Drosophila melanogaster: one gene and its partner. The protein of the gene in region 1 purifies or fractionates together with the protein of each later gene. This does not show direct contact. Each region holds a gene or a part of one and is shown on either strand. Other genes may lie near its edges. The genes, in order: Nup35 and Nup154.

Region 1 (3,932 bases):
TTGGGAGAGCCACACGGCGATGATTTGTTTGCTCATTCGCCGTGACGTCAACGGCTCTGGGTTTTAATCGCAAATTGCTGGAATAAAACACTGTGCGCTGTGCAAATATGCAAAATAAATGAAACGAGCGAATTGAGGCAAAGAACGTACTAACTGATAGCGGGGCAAGTTCAAGATCACAACAAGCTGGATCCGTTCATGTCAATGGAGCCCAGTGTATTTATCATCTTGATTTGTGTAAATTCCACGCAGCTCTAGATTGAACCACAATTCGTGACTCATTTACTCATTTGGCCGCCCAGTGGCCACTATTGCAACCAATAACTAACATTGCGGAAAACATTTCTTAAAGGGTCTTATTGGCCATGTTGGAGATATGAAAATATCTATGCTTTGGCTTTCAGTTATTATTTGTTTCCATAATCACTGGACTGGGAACAGCAGAATGAGCGCGCTTTGTGTTTTGTCACGAATTTGGAATCGGAATTCGCGATTTCTCATTGACACTTAGCCCTGAAGAAAACGCAAAACGAAAACAATGGCAAAGGTAAACAAGAGGCACCAAAAAAGCGCCACCATGGGCGTATGCTAAGGAATGCCAAGGGGCGGAAGGCGATGCAAATACATAAGGGGAGCGCTTAGCATGAGCAATTTTCTAGCAATGCGATGAGTAAGTGCGCATTCGAGCAAGGGAATTATCTTATCAGCCAGAAAAGCCTGATAAAAAGGCAATTGCTGGAGTCAGGAAAACACAAGAGGAAGAGCAAGAGGCAATGGCAAAAGGAGGAAGCGCGCGGTGGGGAAAAAGTGAAATTTCGAATTGGTACGTCTGCAGCAAAAGCAATAGGAACAACACGACCGTCATGACAATATTTTAAGCACACACCAACACAACGGCGCAGGCCACACACCCATACACACGCGGCACAAACGAGTTTAAGTTTTAATGCGATTTATTCGCCGTAAAAAAAAAATAAAAAAAAAACACAAATACTAAAACGGGTGTCCCCCGCTTTTCGCCCCCACTTACCCGTTACACTACAGTGCGTCGGACTCCACATGTCACCCTGTATCCCGTTGATCAAGTCGCACTCTCACGCTCTCTCCCGATCCCGATCCTTTGCTGTCTCGCTCTTGCTGCGAAGGTCCTGCCTTTCGTTTCTTCTTCTTTGCCTATATTGTAATTTGGATTGTTGTTGTCGATGTGTTTTGTTTACACTAATCGTTGTGTTTGTTGCTGCTCGCACACTGTGATTTCTTCTTATTGTTCTCAGTTGCCAATTTAATCACGCGCGACACGAACGAAACGCCAGGAGAACGTAGTGTAGTCTAATGTAAAAAAAAAAAGGAAAAAGACGGAGACGCGACGCGTGATGTTGTTGTTTGAAAGGTGGCCGCTAGAGTGACCGTTTGGGGGAAACGAAATGTGCCCACTGCCAGTCGGGGAGCTGCAAAAGTGCAAGTTGCGCGGCGCGACTGCGAAGAACGGCGTATTTAGTAGAGGTGGAGAAATCGATGTTGGCGGACATCGATGTTTTCAATAAAAACAAAAAAATTAACTGCTTAACTTAAAGATTATTATTTTTTTATAATTGCTTAAATAAAAAGGCAGTACTATAACTAAACATGACAAGCTTATTGCCGTCTACGTTTTTATCCGCCCCTGGTCCAATAATTGCTCCTATAAATCAAATATACTAATTAATGCAATTCAATAGAAAAGTAATTCAATAGAAAAGTAAGCCAGTATGCATACGAGCAGGTGCACGCATGCATACATGCATAAATATACGTGTCGTCTTCCACGACGCCAGCCAAGACCACCAGCAAGTCACTGAAAATTTGCAATATGCTATTAATAAATGGAAATTGGAAAATTTGGAAATTTAATTTATACTCACAATTTAAACACTTTTAACCTACGATGCGCAGTAAAGATGGAAAAACATCGATGATTCTTTGAAAAACATCGATGTTTGTGATTTTTCGAAAACATCGATGACATCGATGTTGGCATCCACCTCTAGCATTTCGACCCCAGCCCAGCCTGGTCGCACTAACCGATTACAGCTGTGGCGTCCTTGTTAATGCAACGCTTTTTCGTTTTTCGCCGTTATAATTATTATAATTAATATTCGCATTCGATATGGAGCCAATGAATCTGGGCAGCCCGGTCAACAGTCCTGGCTCCAACCAGACCCAGTATCTGCCACCTTTTCTGCTCGGCGATCCGCAAGGTATAACGCCGCACAAGAACACGCTGTCCCCGAAAACCGGGCGCTCTAATATAAGTTTCGGTAAGTAGCCGGCATCAAGCAGCTCGTACGCATTGGCTATATGAACACATGCCCCGCAGCCACCTCGCCCGGCGGCAGCAGTCCGCACGAGCTCAACCGCTCCGCTCTGAGCACACGCACTCTGTTCGCCGCCCAAGGAGGCGCCCACACGGCTGTGGGCGCCAACAGCTCAACGACCGCGCACGGCCAGACGCACAGCCACCACCAGACGGGACCGCCCACCCAGGGACTCTTCGACTCGCTGCGCGAACAGTCCGTCACCCCGAAGAAGAAGAACCATCTTGGCATGCTGCAGTTGCAGTCACCGAACCAGAGCTACCAGAGCAGCTATCACACGAATGACTCGTTCGCACCCGGGGCGCCCAATGCCATCAATGCCTCGATGCGAGCACTGTGCTCGCCACTTGGAGCCACTGCCTCGCCAGCTGGAGGCCTGGGCACATCCGTGACGACGGGCGGCAACTCGCGCCTATCCGACTTTTGGGTTACCATCTTCGGGTTCCCGCCGGGGGCCGGCTCCATGGTGCTGCAGCACTTCACCGTCTGCGGCACCATTGTGGACGTGGTGCATGCCCCGCAGAACGGCAACTGGATGTATGTGCGCTACTCCTCGCGCATCGAGAGCGACAAGGCGCTGAACTACAACGAAAAAATCATCGCCGGCAATGTGATGGTGGGCGTGTCGCGCTGCACGGATAGGTCGGTGATCGATAAGGAGAACATCGGCTCTGTGCCCAATGCAGAGATAGGAGATCCCCCCACCAGCCCCAGTGCGATTCGACCGTTTTCCCAGCAGTCGTACAAGCTGGCCCGCAAAGATAACATCATATCGCCGCAGAAGGATGTGCCGCAAAAGAGCTCCGGTCTGATGGACAAGGCCATGGACCTGATATTCGGCTGGTAAGAAGGGCTGATGGCAAGTCGGATGGATGGATAGATGGAGTGATGGAGTTTCCGGCTACTTATTTAATAATTCACTGCCTACATCCAGCATACATACATATACATACTTATTAAATGGAGATATATTAGCAATAGCATTAGCAAAAGAAGTCGAAGGGGGTGGCGCTGCCCTTCTACTTGGGCTCCAGGTGCGCCGTCTCTAGGTTCTTCATCTTGGGATAGCTAATGGAGCGGCTGTCCAGCTTGGACTGGGCCCACAAGATCAGCTTGAGCAGGAACATCATTTTGGGCGTGGAGTCCTCGCTCTGCTCGCAGCGCAGGATGGCCGAGTTGAGCTCGCTAGCGATCTTCTGGCGGTACGACTGCTCCAGCAGGTCGGCGAAGGGGCTCTCCTGCGGCTTCTCGAAGGCGAGCAGGGCCAGGGTGCGCTCCAGCTCAAACATGGCCTCCTCGCCGGACTCGGACAGCTTGCTTTGGGCAAAGGACAGGGCCTCCTCCACCTTGCCGGCGCGTATCAGCTCGATGAGCTGCAGCTGCTGCAGGTGGAAGAACAGATAGCGATCGCTGCCGAGCAGCTCAGGATGCAGCTGGTTCACCAGCTGGGTGGCCTCCTCGATGCGGCCCGCCTGCACGGCTTCGCGGATGAGTATGCGCCCATCGAGGCTGCTCAGCTCCACGCTGGGCTCCAGATCCGCCTCGTGCTGGAACTTCTCGGCGGCCTCCTTGAAGCCC
Region 2 (8,072 bases), on another chromosome or scaffold:
GAGCATTGTGATAAAATCTGAATACATTATATTACAAAAGTTTAAAGACACTAAATTTCTTATTGAAAGTTTCGGCCGTTGGTTTTTTTTTATTAACATTTTAGGTTGAAACACATTCCAAAAGTCTAAGACTCTAGCTTCACAACGGTCGTCTTCTCGGACACGTACAGACCGTCAAGGAACTTACGGATATCCTTGTTCTTGACGGTCGTGGACTGCTGGATGAGGGCGGCAGATCCGGAGACAGACTCAATATCGTTTCCCTCCACGATAAGTTCGTCCTTCTGGGCAGTGGAGTTGACCACGGTGACGCCAGGAGCCATCTCCACACGACGGATGTACTTCTCACCCAAGAAGTTACGGATCTCAATGACCGTGTTGTTCTCGGAGGTGACACAGTTGATGGGGAAATGGGCGTACACAGCACGCATCTTGTACTGGAATCCAAACGTGACTCCTGGCGAGAGAGAAATTGCAATTAATTGTGTGGTACTTTGAATGCAAATGTCTTTAGGAACCTAATGCCGAATCTAATTTGCCAGCACACACTGAAAATATTTACTAACTACTATATAGCATTTTTAGGTAATTTGTAAAGAAAATTGATATCTATGAATGGAGTTTAGTAAATCGTCTTCCCAGATATTATTATTAAATTCTCGTGTGATTGGCAAATGAAAGGCCTGGCTGTGAAAGTGTTCCTGTTGTGTTTACCCTAGCTGTACGCACCCTTGATCATGTTCTCGATGTGACTGCAGACGGTGCGGACGGCGGCCAACTCCTTCTTGGTTCCGAACCACTTCTCCACCTTCAGGGTGCGCTTGTCGGGCATGTACATGTCCAGAGCCAAGTGCTTGAAGCTGCGCTTCAGGGTGCCGCGGGTGCCGGTGATGGTCACCACACGGGCCTTCACCGAGGCCTTGATATCCTTAGGGATCTTCACGCACTGGTTGGAATTAATGGTACGCATCTTGATGACACTGTCGGCAAAAACATTAATTATTAGTTTATCAAGGCTACAAGTGCTTGTCACAGAGCATTCCAAACATCGAATCGCAGAGTTCACATCGGGCTAACAAAACGTGCGCTGCCTATTGTTTTCCAATTTGTTTATGGATCATCCATCCCAGCGGAAATGGAAAAACGGCGGCTCTTCAGTGCCACACGCCAATTGCCGTTTCACTCGATTCGATGTTTTGGGGCGCTTTTTCACACAAAACTTACGCTCCGTTAGTCCCTCGTTTGTATGACACAAATTCTGGATGGACTCCTCGCTGCAAGGGGTGGTTTTAGAGATATTTTGGGTTAAAATTTCAATAAAAATATAACGCGGAACACACTACTCACCGGAAACGGGGAAAAGAAAAGAAGGGAAATTTAATGTGGCTGTGTGAGGCGCACAAAATGCGCTAAATTTTGAGCGCCATGTGCCGTTGGGGTGCTGTTAACGTTACGCATTGTGCTGTTAAGCGCTAGAGTTTCTGTGTTGAGTTACAGTAGTCTTTTTTTTTTTTTTTGAAAAGAAGGCTTAAATCAAGTCTATTTGGGAAAGCGGAAAGTGGATTTTAATCACAATTATAAAATCCATTGGCAAAGCTTCGAAATGCTGAATTCATTCAGTAGTTTGAGGTTTTACCGATTTTAGAGAATAACACACCTGTTGCGCTCAACTGAGTTATACTCTTCACATTCTAATATTTTTATATTCTCAAAAGTTTCCGGCATGGGAAGTGCTTTTTTTATTATACTTGTATTAGCACAGTTACTGTTTATATAAAATTATCAACGTTTTTTCAAAGTATTTAAGCCCACTGAATATGCCTACTAAAACCATTATTGTCTATTAATATACGCGTCCTTATCATATAATATATATTAGCAGTAAAAGAAATTATTATTAAAATATTAATTTCATGCACGTTTGCAAATGTTTCTTGTGACAGACGATTTCATAATACCCCGCTAAGGCGCCTGAAATTGTGAAATCCATTAATATTCAATCGAAATATACCAAAACAATACCGAGAATGTGAGGATATCTGGTAACACTTAGCAGAAGGCGGGAGCGTGGGTACATTGAGCATCAGTCGACCAAATCTTCAGATTAGTTTGTAGTTTCATCCCAAAACAGTGGTCTGACGGCATTTTAAGTTAGCATTGCACCCGAGTTAGCCCGCCTCATCACAGTTTTCAGCACGATGACTCTTCCGCAAGCACAGCTGGACTTTTTCACGACGGCGACCAGTATGCTGGAATGGCATTACAATCTGGAGAGAAATAAGCCGGGTCTGCTGGAAGTATGTATTGGATACGGATGTTTATCAGCTTCTCCTCCTTTAATGATACGTTCTTTGTAGCTGACCGGCGTTAGCCAGCATGGGCGGGCCACGATGAGCGGACTTAATGACTACGATTACCAGAGCCTGTCGTTTTTGAAATCGGATAGAACACATAACCTACAACAAATGCGAACGGTGACCAAGTCGGCTATTCCCAACGAGATTCTGGAGCACTTTAAGCGTACGTATCCTGGGCTTCATAGCCCATAGATCTATCCGTTCCAATCTTCGATCCTACCTGTTGTAGACATAAAATGCCACTGCACCATGGGCCTCTTTCCGGAAATCGGACGTGCCTGGCTGACTATCGATTCGGAAATCTACATCTGGACGTTCAATCAGACGAGGGATGTGGCGTACTACGATGGCCTCAGTCATCTGATCGTAAGCGTTGGCCTGGTGAAACCAAAACCCGGCGTCTTTGTGCAGGACGTCAAGTACCTCCTGGTTCTCACTACGCCCATTGAGGTCATTGTCCTGGGCGTGACATTCGGTGAGAGCTCGTACAACGAAATGCAGCTGATGAACCGGCCAGTTTTTGTGATTGGTACCGACAACGTGTCCATCAGCGTCATCAAAGGAACGGATGACGGCCGCATCTTTTTGGGCGGTCGCGATGGCTGCCTCTATGAAATTTACTATCAGGCCGAGTCCAGTTGGTTTGGCAAGCGATGCAAGAAAATAAATCTCTCCCAAGGACTGGTCTCCTATATGGTTCCCAGTTTTTTGAAGGTCTTTTCGGTAACTATTGTCTTTACTTCAAAAAATGTCCGTAACTATTTAGCGCGATTTGTTTGCAGGAAGTGGATCCAATCGAACACATTGAGATCGATAACAGTCGCAAGCTTCTCTATGTCCTTACGGAAAAAGGTGTCATTGAGGCTTGGGACATCAGTACGAGTTACACGACAGCTCGAAGACTAGGTCGGATTACCCAGAACGATATTACGAATCAAGCAGTTAGTCTGATCACGTAAGTGCTAGTTTCGCAAAGAATTTAACTGTAGTATGGTTAATTAATAACCATTATTTAAACTTTAGGACTGTGGACCCGTCCATTTTTAAAAGTGTGAAAGCCATCTGCCCTCTGAGCGCCGACGATGCCGACAAACTACATCTTGTGGCCGTTACTCAGTGTGGTGTGCGGCTCTTTTTCTCCACAACATCGCTAAATGTGAAGCAACAATTTGGTCCCGCGGTTCCTTGCAGTCCAGGTGAGAATACAGGATTCGGTCAGCCAGCAGTTCAGCCACCACTGTCTCCAAATGCTGAGGCTCCTAAGGGACTTTATCTGCTCCACGTGCGTCTACCACCCGGCTACACCCCAAATGCCACCACCAACAAACCAAAGCAGGTCCATGCCGCTCACTACACGGAGGGAACCATGTTGATGATCACAACGCAACAGCATGAACAGGATCTCCTCTGGTCGCTCAGCTCTGCCCCATCGGTTAACTTTACCTACCTGGTGGAGTCGACGGCTCTGGAGAGCCTGGATGGAGTTGTTTGGGGATTGGCTGAGGTACATGAACCGTCGACGCCACAACGAAAGTCACCCTTAAATAGTGCCCGACACGCCCGCAAAGTAGCCCTGCTCACCAACCAAGGCACACATATCATAGAGGTGCTTAAAATGGTGGACGTACTGCGTCAGATCCTTCTGTCGTGCAATGGCCCACACCACGAGGAGGTGAAGATGTTCTTCCAGTCGCAGAATCAGCGAGAGGCATGTGTCACGGCTCTGCTGCTGGCCACATCGGATACTTATCGTGGCAGTGACGTTGCTTTGTGGGCCGCCCAGGCGTTTATGCTGTACGGCGGAGAGCCATGCTATCAGCATCAAAAGTTCCTGAACGCCAGCAACCGCAATATGGCTAATCAAACTCTAGGCCCGAATACGACGAATGTAAGGGAGCGTCAATCCATGTTTATGTCCACGCCAATGCCGAATAGCGTGGCAAATAGTCCGGTTGGTTTTCCTGGATCGCAGTTCAATCAGCCCATAAGTCCAAGTGAGTTAAATAAGATCTTCCAGATTGCGAAATAGTAAACACAAATATGTATTTATCAGTTGGAAATATGCAGCCACCACAGGTGGCAGTTAGTAACGAGAATTCCCCAATCGTTTTCTCGGCCAAACACGACGGACTTTACATGTATGTCTCCCGCATGCTGCATTCTGTTTGGCAAATGCGCTGTGTAAATGAGCAATTTTGCTCTAATCTAAGTCAGAGTGAGTGTGCCCTCTTGCTATCCGATCTGCGTTCCCTGCGTAGCTTTCTGGAAGTGCACTCTGTGCACGATATTTCCTGTAAGTCGTGAACTTTTTATTGCAAGTTAAGGTACTTACTTATTAATTATACAATTGTTGCAGCGACTACTCGAGTGTCATTTGATAACCATTTGGATAGAACCAATTCATATAACACCATCATGATGGGCAACACTTTGCTGCCAATTCCTGAGCAACGCGTATTGTCCGAGCAGGCTCAAGTAGAGGAAACACGTTCGCTTTCCGCTCTCAACCTATTTGTCAGTAAGTAAAGTTGGGATATTAAATCATAAAGCTTGAACTTATCTACCGCCGTTTGCAGAACATGCATGTGAGGTTATATCGCTGTGGAACATCCTAAACTCGCATTCCTTCCAGCTGATATGCGTGCAACTCAGTCCGGAACATCAGAAGTTGTTGACATGCTCCACCTTCCGGGATCTTCTGATTACACGTTCAGAGGTCTGCGCATTCTTGATCATCTCGCTGATCAATCTGTATCTGAAGGACGCGGCGGGAGTGTCTGAAGTGTCCAAGAACTTACGTGAGAACTGCCCCAACCTATACAGGCATGAGGATGACGTGACCTACAAGGCCACCGAGTTGTTGATGAATGCAAAGAATTGCACTTCGGCAACCGAAAAGGAACATATGCTGCGAACCACCCTGCATATGTGCAAGGAAGCTGCTCCCACATTGCCACTGCATAGTATTTGCATGCAATTCATATCGGCTGACTTCTTTGAGGGAGTGATCGAGCTTTCGGCTGTTTGTGCCTCAAAAAGTGATCCAGAGGAGGTTGGTGTTCATTTCTATAACAATGGGGAACCCGCCGATGATCGCGAGGGTTACACTTGCTTTGCCACAAGGTAACTTCTTTAATAGTTTTTTTTTTTCTTGGAAAAACTAATTATTTCCACATCTTAGGATGGCCTACTACAAGGAAGTGCAACTTATGCTGGACCATATCTACCAGAGAGTATGCAACAAGACGCACGTTCAGGATAAGTCTATAAATCCACTTAAAGGTACGGCTAAAGCGTCCGATGCAAAAAACGGTGCTACGCAAACGATTCCAAAAATAGTGGCCCATACCCTAAAGGTGAAAGACCCGCTCATTCATATAACGCTCTACGAATGGCTGCTGGCCCACGACATGCTCAAAGAGCTTTTAGACGTGGTTGAGCCGTCATTAGGAGAGTTCTTGCGGCGCAGTGTGTCGCAAAATGTAGATAATGTCGTTCTTATCGATTTGCTGTGGAAGTACTACGAAAAGAATAGCCATCATTCCCAGGCAGCCCATATATTGGACAATTTGGCTATGACACGCAGTGAAAACATTAATCTGGAGCAGCGCATTGAGTACTTGGTGCGTGCTGTTATGTGTATGCGAAATGGTAACGTTGGCTCTTCATTAAGCAATGGAATATTCCTGAAAGAGCTAGAGGATAAGGTACGTTATAAGATCTCTGGAAAGATGTGGTGACCTATATTTAATAACATAATTTAAAAATTCAGCTGGACATCGCACGAGTTCAAAAATCAGTGCTTGCCGCGATGACAGAGTTGGCTAGCGATAAGCTGGAGGCAGCTACGGCTGTTAAGGAACTAAACTATGCGTTGTACGACATAACTCAGCTATACCAGCACTTTGCGGAGCCCTTCGACCTTTGGGAGTGCCAATTGTCCATACTCAACTGCTCGCATCACAACGACCCCCTACTGATCGAGTCCGTTTGGGGCCAGATTATCAACAGCGTTGTGGATAAGCCGGGCACAACTAGTGAGCGCTGCAATAGGTTATTCACGAAAATCGAAATCTTGGTAAGGGAGTATGGCGAGTCTGGAGTTTGCTTTCCCTTTGCCTTTCTCATAAGGGAACTGGAAGTTAAAGCCTGCCAACTGCGATTTCCCGAGGGCATAGTGCCGGAAAAACTGGTGAGTATGAATTTGGACATTGAACTGCTCCTGGAATACTATTCGAGGTACGTATTGAAGGGTTTTCGCAGAGATAAAATTGTTTAAAGGCTAAACTTTTAAAAACTTTCAGAATGATTTCAATGAACGAACGAGTGTGGGCCAACGAGGGTAATGAGTGGCATTTAATACAATCCGTCATACGAGTGGTCTCGCTTCTGGCAGACAACGCACAATCTATTTGGTACCGGTCAAAGTAAGTGCAAAAGTAAAATGCTAGCCGATACGATTTACTTACATTCACATTTAACTTGCAGACGACGAATTGTTGGCAAGGCTCAAGACATAGTGGCCGGCTGCCTGAATATTTGCTACCAAAAGCCCGACACTAATCGTCTTCAACATTCACTCAAGGAACTTCAGAGTCAGCTGCAGCGGTTGTTGATTTAAAGCCGTCGGCCTGCGTTATTTTAATTAAATTTTTGAAAGTGCTGGACTAGACGTTAAGTTTGACTGAGATATATATTGTATTTGTATTAAACATGTTAAATAAATTGATTTCCCCACAGATCGTTGTTCGGATTCCGAGATGGCATGTAACTCATGAGGTGTCCATCATTTTTAGATGAGCTTCCGTCAGAATGCACTTCGTCATGTGACAGGAGCAAGGCACTGGATGCTCCTCTGTGTTGGGGTCTAGCAAATCCACCTCCAGATTGTATTTACGCATATCGGCAGCACTGCGCTTCATTGTGATTTGAAATGCAATGGGTGACTTCTCCTCCAGATTTTCGCAGGATTCCTCGGGCAGGACGACTACACACTGCTTCCAATGCGTTGGCGGGGATAGCGGCGATGTGCTTAGAACAAAATCTTCGCCAGGAAACTGTACATCGAACCAAATGCAGAAGCCCTGGTGATTGCCCGCCTTCTGGGCTGTTATTACCTCCTTGAACTGAATGCTGTCCAAATCGCTGGCTTCCACATCCAGCAGATTCATCCAGTGAAAGACGACGCCCTCGTGCAGAAGATCTTGCGGATTCAGCTGTGTAATCTCCGGTCGGGATGACTTTTGGGTTCTGAGTTTTCTGGCAAACGTGTCCATTTTGATGCCGTCCACGTTGTGCCAATCATCGAAGAGCGATGGTACCGAGCAGGGTGCCACGAAAATTGTGCACTCGCTGGGGAACAGGAGTCCACCCTCCTTGAGGAACTTGTCCCGGGCCAGGAGAACCGAGTCCAACATGCCCTCGTGCAGCAGGTAGAAGCCCATCCACTCGGACACAATGATGTCCACCTTTTCCGCCTCGGCAGGCAGTACGAATTCCTCAACACGCGACTGGATCACCTTCACCACGTTCGTCAGGCCGTTATCCTCAATCAAATCCAGCGCAACTTTGGTGGCCACATTGGATGCTTCTACGGCGTAGACCAAACGGGCTCCTGCTTTCGCACAAAAGGCGGACAGAATCCCTGTGCCGGCACCAACATCCATTACGATCTTGTCCTTGAACAGATCCTTATTCCCCAATATCGCATTGTAG

The links.
Region 2: the proteins of Nup35 (region 1) and Nup154 purify together in Drosophila melanogaster (affinity purification with western blotting, with the first as the bait; one study listed by BioGRID). This does not show direct contact.

The regions. Positions count from the first base shown.
Region 1 is NC_004354.4:18,646,160-18,650,091, forward strand, and holds Nup35 (nucleoporin 35kDa), read left to right. Parts: upstream 1-2,022; 5' UTR 2,023-2,146; coding exon 2,147-2,297; intron 2,298-2,356; coding exon 2,357-3,201; 3' UTR 3,202-3,330; downstream 3,331-3,932. Other genes in the region: Rip11 (Rab11 interacting protein), read right to left, coding at 1,031-1,061; Hou (houki), read right to left, coding at 3,374-3,932. UniProt on the Drosophila melanogaster protein: Functions as a component of the nuclear pore complex (NPC). May have a role in the organization of the inner nuclear membrane proteins at the nuclear envelope together with Nup154.
Region 2 is NT_033779.5:11,002,782-11,010,853, forward strand, and holds the start of Nup154 (nucleoporin 154kD), read left to right. Parts: upstream 1-2,038; 5' UTR 2,039-2,198; coding exon 2,199-2,297; intron 2,298-2,357; coding exon 2,358-2,520; intron 2,521-2,586; coding exon 2,587-3,080; intron 3,081-3,139; coding exon 3,140-3,312; intron 3,313-3,380; coding exon 3,381-4,351; intron 4,352-4,410; coding exon 4,411-4,650; intron 4,651-4,713; coding exon 4,714-4,875; intron 4,876-4,933; coding exon 4,934-5,480; intron 5,481-5,538; coding exon 5,539-6,064; intron 6,065-6,129; coding exon 6,130-6,596; intron 6,597-6,661; coding exon 6,662-6,784; intron 6,785-6,845; coding exon 6,846-6,978; 3' UTR 6,979-7,129; coding exon of another isoform or gene 7,130-8,072. Other genes in the region: RpL9 (ribosomal protein L9), read right to left, coding at 126-457, 730-970; Art8 (arginine methyltransferase 8), read right to left, coding at 7,130-8,072. UniProt on the Drosophila melanogaster protein: Component of the nuclear pore complex. Has a role in the organization of the inner nuclear membrane proteins at the nuclear envelope.